3 linked regions of the Caenorhabditis elegans genome follow. The protein of the gene in region 3 interacts with the protein of the main gene of each other region in a biochemical or structural test. Each region holds a gene or a part of one and is shown on either strand. Other genes may lie near its edges.

Region 1 (7,785 bases), on a different chromosome or scaffold from region 3:
AATACCTTGAGTTTTGAATCTTTTTTGGAGAGTCTAGAGTTTGTTTAGTGGCTGGCTTGATGTCAGTATTAGATCTCACGTTATCGTATCAGCACACCACAGCTAATTCATTTTCTCTCATTATCCATATTTATTTGGTCCACCTGTTACACAAAAAACGCACTCAAAATCTGACTGCTCAATTAAGGATAATGAGTGTCCAGATCTCGTGCAGGCTCATTTTCCATTAATTGAGTAACAATTTGTTTCAGTTAATGTCTGAAAATATTCCAAGAAAAGCGTGTTGCTATGTTCAAAAATGAATTTTAATAATTCTATGACGTCATAATATGTACCTCACTATAATCTCGACACCCCATCATTATCAAAACTGTTTTTTTCGGGTTTTTCCGAAAAAGATTTTTGAAAAAAATTTCCCAATTTAAGAATGGTGGGCTAAGGACGGCATGATGTAATCGCGCTCCACGACCGATTGTAAATATTTCGAAAATACGTGGGTGCATGTGTACTCAATTATTGATCGAATTGGCGCGAAAGTCTTGTGTTGTCTACGCTCTCTTGCATACCATTGAGTCTTTATTTCTCTATTTCTGCTTAGTTTCTCAAGCATTCACTAATGAATATTTTGCCGTATCTAATGCAACAACAACTTGGTGTTTTGTTTAAATCTTTAGCTCTTCGAAATACTTTATCACATTCTGACTGTATCAGCGAATTTCTAATACATTTTAAATTAGTGAAATTATCTGAATAGCTTTAAAAATATTCCTAGCCTGCAGTCTTTTCTGAAAATATGTTTCGTCTAATAAAGAAAATAATTTTAATATAAAAAATTATTCCAGGCTCTTCTATACGGAGTTCTCCAACTTCAAAAGAAGATCAAGCGTAAGCGAGAAGCTCAACTTTGGTACAGACGCTAAACAGAACACGAGGCGAAAAGAAAGTACGAGAAAGTTGGAGAACTGTGAAAAAATTCGCAGAAAAATGGTCATTTTGTACGAGTAAGCCCCACTTCATTCATTTTTTGTGTTTCTCCACCTTTTCTCCATTTTCTTTTTTCTAGATCTGATATCGATAGTTTCGTTCGTTTTTTTCTGCGGTTTACTTTTTTTTTCGAATAGTGTCTATTTTTACCTCATGTTTTTTTTGGTTGAAAAAAAGTCGATAACATTTTTTTAAAGTTCTATTTTTTTCTCTCATTTTCTTTGGAACGGTTAACAACGCCGACCCTTTGTGGTTCTCTTTTTATTTATTTATTCATATTTTCACAAAGTCTGTGAATTTTTATATAGTGATTTGAAAGGAGATCACGACGCACTTTATAGCGCCGCCAAGTTTTTTTTTTTGGATTTGGTTTTTGGATTGAAAATAATACAAAAAAAGTCTGTGTGGATTGAAAATTGTATTGCGCAAATTCAAAAACACAAATTTTCTGGCGCCTCTTCTGAAAATTGCTGATCCTTTGTCACGGGCACAAACCTATCGTACACATTGATCTCATTGATTTCCTGAATGAGTTAACGTGAGTACGTTGAAATATTTTTTGCAGGATTTTGCAAAACTGATTCATCAGGTGTGCCCGTGTTTTTTGCGCGATTTTGGTCCATTAACTTCCAAAATTGGGAAATCCACACGGAACCGCGCTTTTCGAAACGCTTTTTAGGGAATAGAAAAGATCACATTTTTCTACTTTTTGTTTGTGATATTTTCACTACTGGACCATTCAAATTCGCCTTAATATCCCTTTTCCGAATCTGCAGTTTTATATTTTTCCGTCGTTTCGAGACACAGCGGAGGATCGGAGGTATTGAAATCAATATGTTACCGAATAATCAATGGCAAATACCTATAAACAATGGATTAACACATCAGGAAAATATGGCAGCACACGTGAGTTATTGGAAAATTATTGACATTTATTAAATAGTTTAAAATTCTTGTATTTTACCCAAGGATTTTTCTGTTCCAATCTGTTATTTTTCAAAAAGTAAAACTGATGGATTCCAAATTTTCAGGCAGCCGTCATGAAATTGAGAGTACACGATCTTCAGGTTAGATACCGTTTTTAATCAATCTTTATTGTTCAATACCTCAACGAGAAGGCGATGTGAATCAAGAATTTATGAATTTCAGTCGATTATCTCGCAATTGTCACTTCGAAAGCCACGTCCACAAAAATCGGAGCATCAGAAGGTCGTCGTTGAATCCTTGCGTGATCCTCATCATGCTCGGCAAATTTATCAAATGGTCATTTGTTTTTCTCGTTATTTTATTTATGTTTTTTTTTAAATGATGTTTTACAGCATTAATTTTCTCGAGTTTACAGGCTTCCAATTTCCCGAACGGAAATTATGAGGTAAGTATGAAAAAGTTAAATACTTTCAGTTAAAAAAAAACTATGTCAACTTTGATTAAATAGATGTGTGAGGTACTTTGGGTAACGTTTACCAGTGTTCTACCTCGGAGGAAATTATTCATTCACCTAGTATTGTCTCTTTACTCACACAATAAGTCTCGCATTTATCTCCACTAGCATCCTCATACCCACCATATATGTAGCCCTTTGTTTCTCTAAGTTTCCTCAAATATTTCATCCATTCTGCACTTGCTTCCTCGCAGCTCCGGCAACGGGACTTTCGCCCGTAATAAGGTGTTAAAAACCTCAAAAGCAGTGGATCTTCGAAAATTTCTTAGTTGTACTTTGCCCTGACCTTCTTTCCATGTTTCATACGTGTAGCTTGGCGCGTAGTTTTTCATTACAATTTTTATTTTACTAGATTGATTCTTTTGAATACTGTCACACTTTTTTGAAAATCAAATTCAAATTTTCACTCCTAAAGAGGTATTTGAGTTTTTTAATAATTGTTTCACTTTGAAAAATCGATATGGAAGCGAATTGGCACGATGTCGCTCGTGAGAAACTGGGAATCGTTTTTTTTTTTGTTGTTATTTCACAACAGTTGATTCGAATGCGCGTAACTATTTAAATCAATCGAATTTTTAGTTGGCTTATTATTGAAATTTTACTAAATTTTAAGAAAGTCCTGTTATCAAAACTCCAAAAAAACGGCTAGGTTTATCAATATATATCATTTCTTCGCAAGCACCTCTCCTGATGACATGTGCGCTCTATTGAGAAACAAACGTTCAAAAAATCTCTTCCGCTTTGTTTTTTATTCCCAAATGTATTTTTGCAAATGTTCTAATTGTCTAAAATATTCCACATATTTAAAGTTAGAGCCTAAAAAATTGTTTGTAAATCGTTTCTGTTTTAATAACTAAATTAAAAAATGTCAGATGCAGAAGCGACCTGCAACAACATCCCAAGTTCGGTCTCATCCATATGTGCTGCCATCTCGATCTGGAGCTAGTAATCACTTGGTCAATCATCATTATCAGCAGCAACAACAACAACAACCACAGCCTCACAATCTACTTCATCAACAAATGATGGCGTCACATCATTCACATCTGCAACAGCAGCACCATCCGTCGACGGTGAGATGGCTAACTCCTGAACTGCTCGAAGAGCAACTGAGGGGCTCGATGAGATACGGCGCTCCCGCTGCTGCTGCTGCTACCAACGCGCCGCTCCATTCATCTTTTCCTAATCATGGACGTTCTTCTCAGCAAAGTTTGCAGAAGTCGGAAAAATCAAATAGGGTGAACATTTTCGCCGCATTTTTATTGCCTGAAATTCACGATAAGAATGAACGCAAGAATATCGAGGCGGAAAGCATGTGAAGATATACTTTCGGTTTATGACCGTAACGGAAAATTTACCTGAAAAAATTACACTGGTAGCTTCTTCTGGGCACATATATCATATTGGCCAGTCGCGGTTATTTGAAAATTCCTCAATCGTGATACATTATGCAAACAAATGTCCTACCGTTTATTGAATGCACTTTTTTGAATTGCGTGTAGCATTCAAAAAAAAGAAAGAAAAATTCGAAGCTCCAAGATTTGCACGCTGTTATCACGAAATTTTCTGCATGATTCCGAATGGCGTAAAAACTAGAACAAGTGTGGTTTTAAGATATTACAGTATGGCATTCTTAGGAGCATGTTCATGAAGAAAAGCTTAATATGATAATCCTCTCTAGGCATTTCTTCATATTGCCGTGCTCAATTTTCAAATAGTTTTATTTCCAATTAGTTCGTAGTAGCATGTAAAAGTGTTTTTTTACTACCAAAAAGCAGGCATCATTAGAAATTGCGCGGCATGTGTTATACAGTTCGCTCACACGAGTTCAATGTTATCACCTGAAAATTGCTTTCAGCGTCTCTTTCTTACATTCCCACATGTCTAACCCATGTATTTTTTTTTCAGCCGAAAAAAATGTATGCTGATAATTTTGAACCGCTTCCACTTCCATTCTACGATGTTATTTCTGTTTTGCTGAAGCCTGTCGAGCTGCATTCATCAGACAGTCCAACTTTGAAGCAAACAAAACAGGTTGGTCTCAATTTACTCGCTCTCCAAGCCGGTTACCTATTAATTACTAATTTCAGTTACAATTCCCGTTCTTATTGACTGCTGAGCACATCTCCAAGATTTCGTATCGAGCTGATGTTACACCTCTTCCACGATATGAATTGCAGTTGAGGTACGTTTTATTATCATTGAAATCGGTTTAAATCCTTGTTTTCAGGTTCTTCAATCTTACTGAACCAGTTCAGGGTCCTCAAAAAGACGACTTTCCACTCAATTGCTACGCACGTGTTGATGATTCTGTCGTTCAATTGCCGGTATGAGATTTGAAACGTTCACGAAATATATTTAATTTCAAAATATCAATTATTGTTAGGAGTTACTATTTCTTCAAATTTCAGAATGTAATCCCAACAAATAAGACAAATGCTGAGCCGAAACGACCATCTCGTCCAGTGAATATCACTTCAAACATGAATAGATACAAGAAAGAGCACACAGTTGCAGTCGAATGGTTAGCCGACAAACGTGTATGGGCAGCTGGAGTTTATTTCGTTCATCGTGTTAACTCGGATATTCTCTTTAAACGTCTTAATCAGAATGTATCAAGACATCGATCACTTGAGGTTACCAAGCAAGAAGTGATCAAGAAACTGTCTGGAGGTGAAGATGATATTGCTATGGATCGTCTTAATATCAGTCTTCTTGATCCACTGTGCAAGACAAGAATGACAACGCCTTCTAGATGCCAAGATTGTACCCATTTGCAATGTTTTGATCTCCTCTCATATTTGATGATGAACGAGAAGAAACCAACGTGGCAGTGCCCTGTTTGCTCGAGTAACTGCCCATATGATAGACTTATTGTTGATGAGTAAGTTTTCAATTCACACTGACTAACTTTGATTTTAAAAAAAAGCGAATTATCTCAATTCTATGTTTTCATTATTTTTCTATTAACTCTTAGATACCGTTCCCTCACTTCGAAATTTCCAATTCTTGTGAAGACACTATTATTTTTCCAAACACAATTGTTATCTATAGCGATGGACAACACCCTTAAAATAGCCATGATGAAACGGTGATTAGGAAATTCGGAAACGCGTCGTCTAAAATAGGCATGTATTTGCAAATATAGTCTACGATTATTATCAGTAGTTCGTATTGGTCTCCAACTCAAAATTCAGCTCATGACGTAAGAGAACATGAAACAAATGGCAAAGGTCAATCATCATAATTGAGCAAGAGTTTTAATGTGTAATTGAAAATTATTATTATTCAGAAATTCAAAATCCCTGTAAATAATTCTCAATCAATTAATAATCCAAATAGTGTTCTCACTCTTATGTTTACCATGATCCAGATTCATATTGTGAACAGTGCATCATGGACAAACAACAAATTCGATGGCTAACTTCATGCAGTTTTGTGTGAAGCTGTCTGTTCGCACTATTCGCTCGTTTTCTTAATTGGAAAATACTTTTTAGTCACGGAAATGCCTGAGAAACTGCTTAGACGTTACCCAATTCAACATTTTATTTAAGAAATATTCAAATATCAAAATAAAAAGCAATGTTCTGAGACTATGCAAATATTGTTTCATCTTTCAGTTATTTCCTCGATATGCTTGCAAAGGTGGATAAGAATACGACGGAAGTTGAACTTAAGGAAGATGGCTCGTACGATGTTATCAAGGAAGAAGCTTTTTGCATCTCAGATGATGACGACGATGACGTTGTACCTGCTACTGTTAACGGTACAGCGTCATGCTCTTCGACAAATGGCAATGGACTTGCAAATGAAGCAGCGAAGAAAAAACCAGCTGACGACGACATAATTACCTTGAGTGATGACGATGATGAGGAATTGAACAGAGGTATAATGAACTCTCTGAACGACAGCTTCTCTCCTGGCAGACACACAGGTTTGCTATTCAAATGGCGTGGTGTGAGACAAGCTGAGAATATTGCAGTTTCTAGCAATATCAATTAAAAGTATTCACTTGAAATTCAAATCTTATTTCAGCTTCCGCAGAATTGGCTGCTCAAAAGACACCACCACAGCAGAAAAAGAAGACGAAAGACGATGACATAGAGATTATTACTCTCGATGATACACCACCTCGTCCAGTAGCTGCAAGTGCAAATCTTCCAATGCGTCAGATGTCTCAACAGAATCAAATGCCAGTTGGCTCATCTCCATCTGGAATGGCCTCAACGCAAATGGGAATGAACGAGGGTGCAAGTAAAACTATCCGGGATGCGCTGAACAAAATAGGAGAAGTAAGTTCAGAAAAACACAAATCTTCAAAAGAGCCAATATTGTTAGTTATTTTCCATAGTTTTAAGAGGATTTGTTCTTAATTTGACTGAAATCAGTATTCTAGTTATAACTTATCCGTTTTTAACCAAAACTAATACAAAGATTGAATTATATATTTGATTATATTATTATATGATATTGTTAAACTAACATCTGCTTCTCCCTGTCCACACTCACTAAACTGTCTGTTTGTTGCAGCAGTCAGCAAATTCATCAACACAATCATCTCCGCTTGTTCAACTTCACCATACGACACATCCATTGAATTTTGCTCAATCATCTTATATGAATCCCTCTTCAGGATCTCAAACACCTACATCACAATACGGATATTCGGTATGCCAGCACGTGTTAATAGTCTACCACACGCACTAATACTCTAGTGATATTTTTTCATAACGACAGAACAAAAAAATCCTGTTTTAATCTCTTTTTTTTCTTTGTTCAAGCCCCTATTAATTGGATAAGATACTTAGATGATTGTCCACTGCACTAGAATTCTGTCGAATTGAAAAAAATGCACTAGTTTTACGTCTGGAATTATAAACTTAACAAATATTTTTCAAAATTTTTTAAAAATTGAACTCTCGTTTTCAGCCAATGATAAACCAGGCACCACACTTCCAAATGCAAAACGGGCTCATAGGGCGAAACAATCAAATGGTTCATATGCAGCAGCACCATCTTCAGCAGCAACAACAGCAGCAGCAGTCACCACAAATCATGTCTCCGTCTTTTTATGCTCAACAGCAAATGTCAAACGGTAATTTTTTGTACACCTTACAAAGTTTTTGTATATTATGTTTAAACATCAAAACAATCACTTCACGATCTTCAGTTAATAGCGAGTAAACTTGTTGTGTAATTGCAACCATCCTGCATGCAAATATATATTTATTTCCCTTACTTGGTTTGGCCTCACTTTCAGGTGACACCAATAACATCCAACCACCACGAATTCTTTCCATGGCTGAAATACAAGCAAATGCATCTCGACTTTTGGTAAATGGACACCTGATGATCGATCA
Region 2 (5,656 bases), on a different chromosome or scaffold from region 3:
CACTTTGTGGCATTAATACTTTCTTTCAGCGTTCTATCAAACGTTTGTTCTCTTTGGAGCTAAGGCAAACCGCGCAACTTACGATTGAAGAATGGCTTCGAACCAAGAACTGGCTTGCGTCTACGCTGCTCTCATCCTTCAAGATGACGAGGTCGCCATCACCGGCGAGAAGATCGCTACCCTTCTCAAGGCCGCCAACGTCGAGTTCGAGCCATACTGGCCAGGACTCTTCGCCAAGGCTCTCGAGGGAGTTGATGTGAAGGTAAGGATTTCTCATAAGTATATTCAAGTTTCACCCCGATTGTTTTCAGAACCTCATCACTTCTGTCTCTTCCGGAGCCGGATCTGGACCAGCTCCAGCCGCCGCCGCTGCTGCTCCAGCTGCTGGAGGAGCCGCCCCAGCTGCCGAGACCAAGAAGAAGGAGGAGCCAAAGGAGGAATCCGATGACGACATGGGCTTCGGTCTCTTCGACTAAAGATCTTGTTATTTGTTTTCAATAAATCTGTTAACAACACCAAGAAAGTGTTTATGGCTTCAAAAGTGAAAAAAGGAGGTTATTTTGGCACTACTCGATTGTTCAGAACGTTTTGAATCCTTTGTATCCGGCTATATTGTCGACCAGGCGCTTTTGGTGGCAAGAAATAGTTGTCTTTCAGAATGATAGTTGGCTCTTCTTTAACACTGTTAGATTCCGGCGAAACAGGCTTCGTGCTTGTTTGTGAGATTCTGCAAAAACTGAAACAATCGGATTTCTCAAGTAAATTAATGTGACTCACTTTACAGGATCTCGTGGAGTTCCTGTTTCAGGCGTGCTCTGAATGATATCTGATGGTATTGTCGAGCTGGCAAGCGACATCGGCGGACTTTCTTCAATATGAACCGACGCGGACTTCGGATCCGATGGAGGATCAGGCGGGATCGGTGGTTGCACAGGTGGTTGGTTCCGAAGTTCCAGGCCAGCCACGTCGGCTTTCAAAGCATCGTGCTCCACTTTCATTTGCATCAGTCTCCGTTGTTCTTTGGCTTCTTCCTGACGGATCCTCAACGCCAACTCGGCGGTTTTAACACCCTCGGATAATTCCACATAGTGCTCAGAAATCTGAAAAAAAGGAAAATTTTAAAAATTCTAGAAAATGAAATGGGAATCCTACAGAATCGATGAATCTGACAAACTGCTCCTGATACTCATTTCTATCCTTTTTCGCCCTCGCCATCACCGTCAATGTGGCACTTTTTATGTTATCAAGCTGAAAATCGGTGGAATTTTGAATTTCTACCTTGAAGCGCACTCACATATCCGTTATACTTGTTGAAATGCGAGAAAAGTACGATTTTGTGTTGTCCCGCCTGGATTTTAGTCTGTGAAAAGAGGTTTGCGTGATAGAGAAGGAACACTGGGGGATGAAGAAGACGGGGACAGTTTACGGGAAATTATTTAAGTCACTCAAAGTCACTCACTTCATTCGAAATTTCCACGTCATCAAATTCTCGATTGTTCTGATTGTTGAGGAGCAGAAAAATTGGCTTTTTCTGCACATGTGGATTGCTGGTTAGGGAGTGGAGAGCCTGGAGAATGATAATTTTTTAAAAGTAATTTATTACCGAGACTTGAAATTTTGACCGAAAATACGGTATCCGGTCTCGACACGACAAATTTCTGTGAAATGCGAAAAGGTGTGCGCCTTTAAAGATTACTGTGGTTTTAAACGTTCTTTGCCCGATTTTTCATAGTTTTTCGAAAATATATGTGGTTTTAATTGTTTTATCACGAATTTCTGGCTTCCCTAGGAATTAATGGAATTTCCTCATAAATTGAAATGGAAGAGTTTGCCGAACTAGGCCAGTTTGGCTCGGCCATATCTGGGGTGGATCTACGGCGCGTTGCGTGTCGCATCGCGGCTCGGTTTTAGTTGTAAAACTACCGTATTTTTTCTATTAATATAGCTGCAATACTATTTTTCGATGGTCTTCCCGCTTGCAATACTAATAGGGAGTGCAAGACTATTAGGGAGTGCAATATTACACTCAAGATAAGAAAACTGCGTGGCGTGTACTGCAGAAAACCTCATATTTAGGCCCCGCCTTTTTCACTAATAGGGAGTGCAATACTAATTTTCGGAGGGTGTTCAAGGAGCAATACTAATAGGGAGTGCAAGTCTAATAGGGAGGCCATATTAATAGAAGAAATACGGTAAATGAAATTACTGTACTTTTGCCTAAAAATTTTTAAAGGAGCACACCCGTTTTAGTTTTTTGCAAAAAGTTGTCGTGTCGAGACCGGATAGCGTATTTTGAGCCTAAAAATCTTATTTCATAACTTTTAGGAATAATTCATAATCCTTATCAATTTCGTAACTTCTCTCACCTCAATCGACTCGGTGAATGTCTCATCCGTTGAATAATCAATCACATAGATGATTCCGTGAACCTTAATTTATTTAGAATAATTATAATAATCACGGTTTGATCTACAAAAATGCGGGAATTTTTCTCCCAAAAAAATGTGACGTCAAAACGCTCTTAACCATGCGAAATCAGTCCCGCATTTTTTGTAGATCCACGTGTAATAAGAGTTTTCAAAAATTCTCCAGTGTGAAAGTGCGCCCTATCGCATGCACACACACACACACACCTCAGCATAATAATTGCTCCAAATTCCACGTATTCCCTTATCCCCGCCAACATCGTAGATCGTCAAATGAAAAGTCTCATCATACTCCATTTTCACTGTGGAGAACCCGTTGGTACGGAGCAAATCCCGCGGATCTTCTGGATTAAATTCAAATTTTAAAATAATTTCGGATTGAGCGACGGAGCGCACTTGCTTACCTCCCTTGAGAACTTTCAAAAATGTGGTTTTTCCGGCGCTTCCGATGCCAAAACATCCGAGTTTGATTTCTCTGAAAAAAAACCTATTGGGTCTCGGCACGATCTATGGGAATTCATCAAACTAAAAATATTGCTCAGATGCGGAAACTTGCGGATTTGCGTCTCGACACGACAATTTTTGTAAATTGCAAAACGGTGTGCGCCTTTAAAGAGTACTGTAATTTCTGGGTTTCGTTGATGTGTAATTCTCATGTGGGAAAATTGCTTTAAAACACGCATATGGCGTCACAATGACCGAATATCATGATAAAAAAATTCAAAAATTTTTTCTAGATTTTATATGATTTTTTGAAAATTGAAAAAATCTCAGTTTTCCCCTAATTCCTATTTGAATTTCCGCCAATTGAACTTGTTCGATGGAGCGCACTTGCATTATTTTTATTTATTTATTTTATTTTTCTTATTTTTCGGCCTATTTTCTTCATTTTTTTGTGTTTTTTATCGGAAAATGCGAGAAATAAACTAGAAAAATGCAAAATGCTTGTTAAAAAGTAACTGAAAATGCCTAAAACTGTAAAATATACTAATTTCAGGCTTGTCGTCGGAAATCATAATTTTACAGTTTTACGCCTTTTCAATTATTTTTTAACAAACATTCTGCAATTACCTTGTTTTGTCATTTTAATTTCCATTAAAAACGCAAAAAAAAAGAAAATCAGTGGAGAATAAATAAAATAAATGAATAAAAATAATTTTTAATATATTTTCATGGCAAAAATCGATCGGAAAATATTAAAAATAGCTGAATTTTCGACTTTAAATATAATTTTTTTTCCAAAAAACCTCGAATAAGGAAACATTTTTGGATTTTCCGTTTTACATCTTCAAAATTTCATAAAAAATGCTTTCAAGCAAACGATTTTCATTTAAAAAAATAAGCCTAAGAATATCGAATTACCGTCTGATAATAGGTGTACGATGGCAACAACAGCAGAAAATAGTTTCGAACCACGACTTTTCGGTCATTTCTTCTCACTTTCTACGCATTTCCTTGCGGTAAAGTGTGTGGTGTCGAAATCGAGGAGATTAGTTACGCAAGAAGTTGCTCTCGGCTTTCACGAGCGGCGGTTGCCATAGTTACCAGAGCCCGAGAGAGCACAAGAATTGTGGAGAGAAGCCGCGGGGTGGGAGGAAGAGATGAGGTGAGGCGGCGGCCGAAGAAGACAATCAGAAACTGGCTCTGATAATGATTAGGTTGGCGAGCTGCCAAGTGATCATACATTTTTCAGGAGAAGGAGACAGAGGCATTCATTTTTTTGGGAAACCCATACGATGTTTTTTTAAATACGAATAAAATAAAACAAAAATGATCAAAAAAAAGTGAGAATTAATCAATCACATCTTCAATGGGTCCACTTTGGCGACCTTCTTTGCGTTTGCAGCAGCTGCAGCGGCTTCGGCTTCTTTCTTGGCTGCCGCTTTCTCCTGCTTGATACGCATGACGTCAGCGTCGCGATTCATGCGAGCATCCATCGATAGACCCTGGAATATTTATTTGCAACTGGATATATATATGTGATTTGGAAATTTGAAATGAAAACTTACAGCATTTCCGTCTTGTCCAGAGGCTCCCTGGCGCTTCTTTTGATCGGCCAGTTTCTTTTGGTTCTTCTCACGAGCCAGATCTCTTTGATTTCCACGAGTCATTTTTGTTGGAGTTGTGCTGCTCAAAAACTGTGTTTCTCGGATCACACCGGAGCGCCGTCAGCGATGGACAAAGCCGCCGTATACGAGGTTTTCTGGAAGAAAAAAACAAAGAATCGATAAGAAAGTGTCGTGAACGCAGACCGTCTCGGTGACATAAATGACCGAGATTAGGAAATGCGCGGGATAAATGAGAGACGTCAGAATGATAGACAGTCTGACTAGCGGACACGTGGAACTTTTTGAAGGAAAACTTGTGGAAGGAGGTGTAGTTTAGGAAATTCTCAAATTCTCGCAAAATAATCACATCACATGGACAAATAAAGAATGAGCTGTGAACTCAATTATACAATATGACAAAAATTAAATTTAAAAAGCAAACTTGAATCAAATGTTTCATCAAATTTTGAGAAATTAGTGAAGAAAAAGAGGAAAAACGGTGGAAAAAAGTAAAAATTGAGATTCGGCCACAACAAAACAGAAAAACAACAACAATTGAAAGGGGCTCCGATTACTTTTCCAGCGGATGGTAGTTGAGAAGCTTCTCGATGAGATCCACGTGAGCCAGAAGCATTCTTCGGCAACAGTAGCGACGAAGACCGAGCGCGTCGAGAGCATCTCCTGAGAGAAACGAGATTTTTTTCATTCAGTAAATCCGAGAATTTTAAAAACCTTCACTGTATTCCGACTGCAAGAATCCGAGATACGTCTCCCACTTGTCGCCGATGACTTTGCCGCATGTGAAGCATCTGATTGGGATAATCATCTTGTGATTTTGCTGAAATTTTCGAAAATTGAAGATGAAAACTGCACTTTTTCGAGATTTTTGGTGAAGTTTTGAACGAAACACTTTTGCCACAAGCTAATTGTAAAGTTTTTGAAGAGAAACTTCAAGAAAATCAAGTTAAATCACAAAAAATGGGGGCAGAAATTCTAGAAATTGAAAATTGTTCAAAATACGCAATGCGCGTGAAATATGGTGTTTTCAGTGCATTTGTCACAGCGGTGTTTGCACAGTTGTCGACCGTAGTTGCAGCAAAGATTTTAAAATTGGTTTTCCAATTTTCTTTTCGAATTTTTTTGTTTCAAGATCGAATTGCAAATTAGAGAAACTCGTTCGAA
Region 3 (3,463 bases):
CACAACGACCATCTTGCCGGCTGCGTTGATCACTCGGAGCACTGGGATCGTCTTGATCTCGAACTTTGATTGATATCGTCTGAAAATTATGATTTATTTTTGAGACTCTGAAATTAAAAATGATAAATCTCACGTCAAAATGTCGTCTCCATACTTGACGCAGAGCCAATCGCCGTGCTTCTCGGTGAAGTTCTCTTCAAGATCAGCCTTTGATCTATCACGAGAGAAGAAAACCACTTCGATGGGCTTTCCAGCCTTCTTCAGATGATGGTAGAAGCGCTGAAGGGTGTGGAAACTCATTGGAAAATCGGAAAATCTAGATTCAGCACTCACAACTAGCTTCGGAGTGAACTGCTTACACGGTGGACACCATCCCGCGGAAAAATAAAGAGCAACAACCTAAATGTCATATTCTAAAATCTTTCACTACACACTAATATTTCGCCACCTTGCCCTTCAGAGCTTCTTCGGCAGGAACTTCAGTCAAGTCTTGCTTCAGAAGCATCACACCTTTCATGAATTCGGACATTGTTGGAGAATCTGACATGAACAGTTCATGGTTGAGTTGCAAAATACAAATAAGTTGAGGGAAAAAAAATATAATCAAGTCCATTTAGAAAATTGGAATACACGGGATTTGTCAACAATTAAATTGTGCTCCTGATTTTAAGAGAATTGGGGGGAAGAGAAAAGAGATGGAAAACAGAACGGGATAAAAAGAAAGATGAAGATCAAAATGAGTAAGAATGATGAGGAATAGTCTTTTGAAAGAATAAAGACTACTCAGCCCATGGACCAGTGGAAAATGATTGGGTTTGCGTGCACACGAAATTTGGAAAAAGTCATCGAAATGTTCTAGCTCTCGAATTTCATCAACCACGAAATGAAAAACCAGGCACGACAAAGCTTTTGGTTAGATTGAAATAAAAGATATCAGAAAAGTTGCTTCGGTGCTCGAATTTCGAGTTGTGTCAACAATCGTTGCCGCATACAGAAATAGTTAACTAAATGAAATGAGGATGGGAGGAAAAAGGAGAATAGAATAGACGACTACCACGAAGCAAGCATCTACTCGAGCATTTGCTTCTGGACGAGTTCGGCAGCATACTTCACAGCTTCCTTCTTCACTCGCTTCTCATATTCAGCCCTGTAATAAATTCATTTGTGTATTTTTTTTATAATATTCAGATAAAAAAAACTCACCTATTCTGACAGTAGATCTGATAGGCTTCAGCCTGAGCTGGATCTTCAATATTTGGATGGTTCAGCAAATCTTGAATTCCAATGAGAAGTTGCTTGATTGAGATTGACGGCTTCCAATCCTTGTTTTCATCCAGAAGAGATAAGCACACGGTACCTGAATTCAATTAATTAATTATAACTATTGGACTGCAATAATAACCTGATGGGTACACATTTGGATGGAAGAGTGGTGGCTCGAACTTGCACTTTGGTGGCGTTGACGGGAAATCGTCCTTGAAGAGCATCCGAATCTGAAAGAAAATTGAATTAGATTTATAAATATCGTTGTATTCCAAATAGCAGTTTTTGAGAGAAACAGTTCACGAATATTATAGCTCAATAAATTAACGAAAAATGATAATTTCCGAATTCTAGCTTCACATACTCTGTATAATCCGCCTTCCCAAATCGTATCCTTTCTCCCTGGGATTGCACATTCCCAATTGAAGAGGTTCAATGTTCCGTCGGCGTTCTTGACTGGTTTGGCAATGAATCCGAATGGATGATCCTGAAAATGTTGAGTTTTGGGCATGAAAACAAACTATTTTTCGATAATTTTTAGAATTTAACCGATTTAAAGCGGTTTTGTAATACAAATCGCCCCGACTTGCCATGTAATGATAAAATTCTCACCTTTCGCCAGTGTTTCCTTTCTTCCGCGAGGCGTCCTGCAGCAATTCCCGACATTTTTGTTCGGTTACACTGAAAAATATCAAATTTGTAAAAGAGAAGTGGACAGTGAAGTTTTAGGCACAACGAGAAAAGAAGAGAGAGGTAAACAAACGAAACAGCGTGTTCGTGACACTTGTCAGAACTATTTTAGATTTTTCAAACAGAAATCCGATCGATAAGAAAGAGAAATTTCTCGAAAAAGTTCAAAAATAGGATATCGCGCCAAAAAACGAAAAGGGGGGCGAGCACCGCCCGTATTATCGATCAATAAATTGCATAGTGCGGCGCGCGATTTCGCAATGGTGTCGCACACGAAAACTAATTTCGACAGAATGCAACAGAAAATTACAAAACGGTTCGCAGTTTTCGCGCGCACACAAAAGAATATTCAAGAAAATTATAAATTCGAAGGGCGCGAAATTCAAATAATATTTATTCGCGGCAAAATGTGTGAGAATGAGAGTGCCCAGTCAGTCATCCTTCTTCAAAACCTCTCCTTCCTTGCGCTCTTTCGTCGGCGAACGACTTCCGGGGCTGCAAAAATGATAACGTTTTCAAAAAATAAAAAACTTTTTTCTCACTCATCAGGCGTTCTCTCCATGTCCGGATTGTTCGAAGGTCCCGTGCATCCATAATAGTACGGCTTGTATCTTCCTCCGAACAACCAGTCCATGTCGTATAACGGAATGTATTCTCTGAATTAGAAAGTTGGAAATTTAATTATTTTAAGTGTCAAAATATATGCCTATATATAGGATATATATACAATAGGTGATTTTCTAGAATTCAGATGTACCTGTGATCTCTCATAACGGTCGAATAGTTGATTGTTGCTTTCAGATTTGGACTCAAAAGTCCACCGTATATCCTATTCCATTCTCTAGAAAATGTTCCAATTAGATCTATTTTTCTTGATGAACAAAGCCAACCTAGTTACTAGAATGATCACCAAAGAGAGAGTAGAACCGAAAAATGGAAAACTACGAACTAGAATTGAAGCTGCGAATCTGGAATAAAATTTTATTTTGGTTTTCCATTATTGTTTAATTGTAGAAAATAGCTAGTGAGCTCACAGAGAACAAATCGCAGAGCTCAAGAAAAGCAACGATGACAAAAACAATTGATTAGGTGGTTCGTCTGTTGCTGTACTCTTTGTAGTTGACTCACTACCATCAAGCAATTCCGTAGTGTAATCAGCCATATTTGTATGCACAAATTTGCTTCAAAGAGTCAAAAATTTAAATTTATAAATAAAAATTAAAAACTCACTTGTCTTCCGGAAACTCTATAACACCACTTTTCGAACTCATCGTAAAAATAAGAATGATTTAAATTTGAAAAAAATTTATTCATTTTTTAATTGTAAGGCAAGGCACATATGGAACGTGTAAAACGTGTACTATTTATCACAATTTCTGAGAGAGCGATATTTCCGATTTGAAAAAAAACAAAACAAAGAAAAAACGAAGGAGCACCGGGCTTCTGAGGGGGCGCCCAATGGCACAGGGGTTTAGAATTATGGCGCAAAAAAGAAGAGTTGGAAGCAATA

The links. Proteins that work in one complex are often made in the same cells at the same time.
Region 1: of the proteins of ubc-9 (region 3) and gei-17, one has a biochemical effect on the other in vitro, tested with the Caenorhabditis elegans proteins (one study listed by BioGRID).
Region 2: the proteins of ubc-9 (region 3) and arl-13 form a complex in vitro, tested with the Caenorhabditis elegans proteins (one study listed by BioGRID).

The regions. Positions count from the first base shown.
Region 1 is NC_003279.8:9,101,573-9,109,357, reverse strand, and holds the start of gei-17 (E3 SUMO-protein ligase gei-17), read left to right. Parts: upstream 1-1,775; 5' UTR 1,776-1,818; coding exon 1,819-1,890; intron 1,891-2,015; coding exon 2,016-2,051; intron 2,052-2,133; coding exon 2,134-2,247; intron 2,248-2,326; coding exon 2,327-2,356; exon of another isoform or gene 2,357-2,370; intron 2,371-2,660; exon of another isoform or gene 2,661-2,758; intron 2,759-3,038; exon of another isoform or gene 3,039-3,251; intron 3,252-3,297; coding exon 3,298-3,663; intron 3,664-4,333; coding exon 4,334-4,459; intron 4,460-4,515; coding exon 4,516-4,610; intron 4,611-4,655; coding exon 4,656-4,752; intron 4,753-4,836; coding exon 4,837-5,309; intron 5,310-6,045; coding exon 6,046-6,359; intron 6,360-6,460; coding exon 6,461-6,717; intron 6,718-6,955; coding exon 6,956-7,093; intron 7,094-7,354; coding exon 7,355-7,520; intron 7,521-7,685; coding exon of another isoform or gene 7,686-7,785. Other genes in the region: nduf-7 (putative NADH dehydrogenase [ubiquinone] iron-sulfur protein 7, mitochondrial), read left to right, coding at 843-920. UniProt on the Caenorhabditis elegans protein: Functions as an E3-type smo-1 ligase. Mediates smo-1 conjugation to air-2 in vitro and is required for proper chromosome alignment.
Region 2 is NC_003279.8:2,063,949-2,069,604, reverse strand, and holds arl-13 (ADP-ribosylation factor-like protein 13B), read right to left. Parts: upstream 3,888-5,656; 5' UTR 3,857-3,887; coding exon 3,789-3,856; intron 2,902-3,788; coding exon 2,831-2,901; intron 2,771-2,830; coding exon 2,634-2,770; intron 2,430-2,633; coding exon 2,367-2,429; intron 1,568-2,366; coding exon 1,460-1,567; intron 1,361-1,459; coding exon 1,295-1,360; intron 1,249-1,294; coding exon 1,153-1,248; intron 1,101-1,152; coding exon 778-1,100; exon of another isoform or gene 737-777; coding exon 556-736; 3' UTR 511-555; downstream 1-510. Other genes in the region: rplp-1 (Large ribosomal subunit protein P1), read left to right, coding at 92-262, 312-476; moag-4 (Modifier of protein aggregation 4), read right to left, coding at 4,226-4,372, 4,436-4,537; rpb-10 (DNA-directed RNA polymerases I, II, and III subunit RPABC5), read right to left, coding at 5,046-5,155, 5,207-5,300. UniProt on the Caenorhabditis elegans protein: Cilium-specific protein required to control the microtubule-based, ciliary axoneme structure. Required for normal sensory cilium function. May act by maintaining the association between IFT subcomplexes A and B.
Region 3 is NC_003282.8:4,649,525-4,652,987, reverse strand, and holds ubc-9 (SUMO-conjugating enzyme UBC9), read right to left. Parts: upstream 1,945-3,463; 5' UTR 1,930-1,944; coding exon 1,876-1,929; intron 1,751-1,875; coding exon 1,628-1,750; intron 1,494-1,627; coding exon 1,403-1,493; intron 1,358-1,402; coding exon 1,204-1,357; intron 1,148-1,203; coding exon 1,069-1,147; 3' UTR 541-1,068; downstream 1-540. Other genes in the region: F29B9.5 (Thioredoxin domain-containing protein), read right to left, coding at 1-79, 134-279, 334-399, 449-529; F29B9.7 (Pheromone-regulated membrane protein 10), read right to left, coding at 2,385-2,448, 2,496-2,609, 2,711-2,794, 2,844-2,921, 2,988-3,134, 3,184-3,224. UniProt on the Caenorhabditis elegans protein: Accepts the ubiquitin-like protein smo-1 from the aos-1-uba-2 E1 complex and catalyzes its covalent attachment to other proteins with the help of an E3 ligase such as gei-17.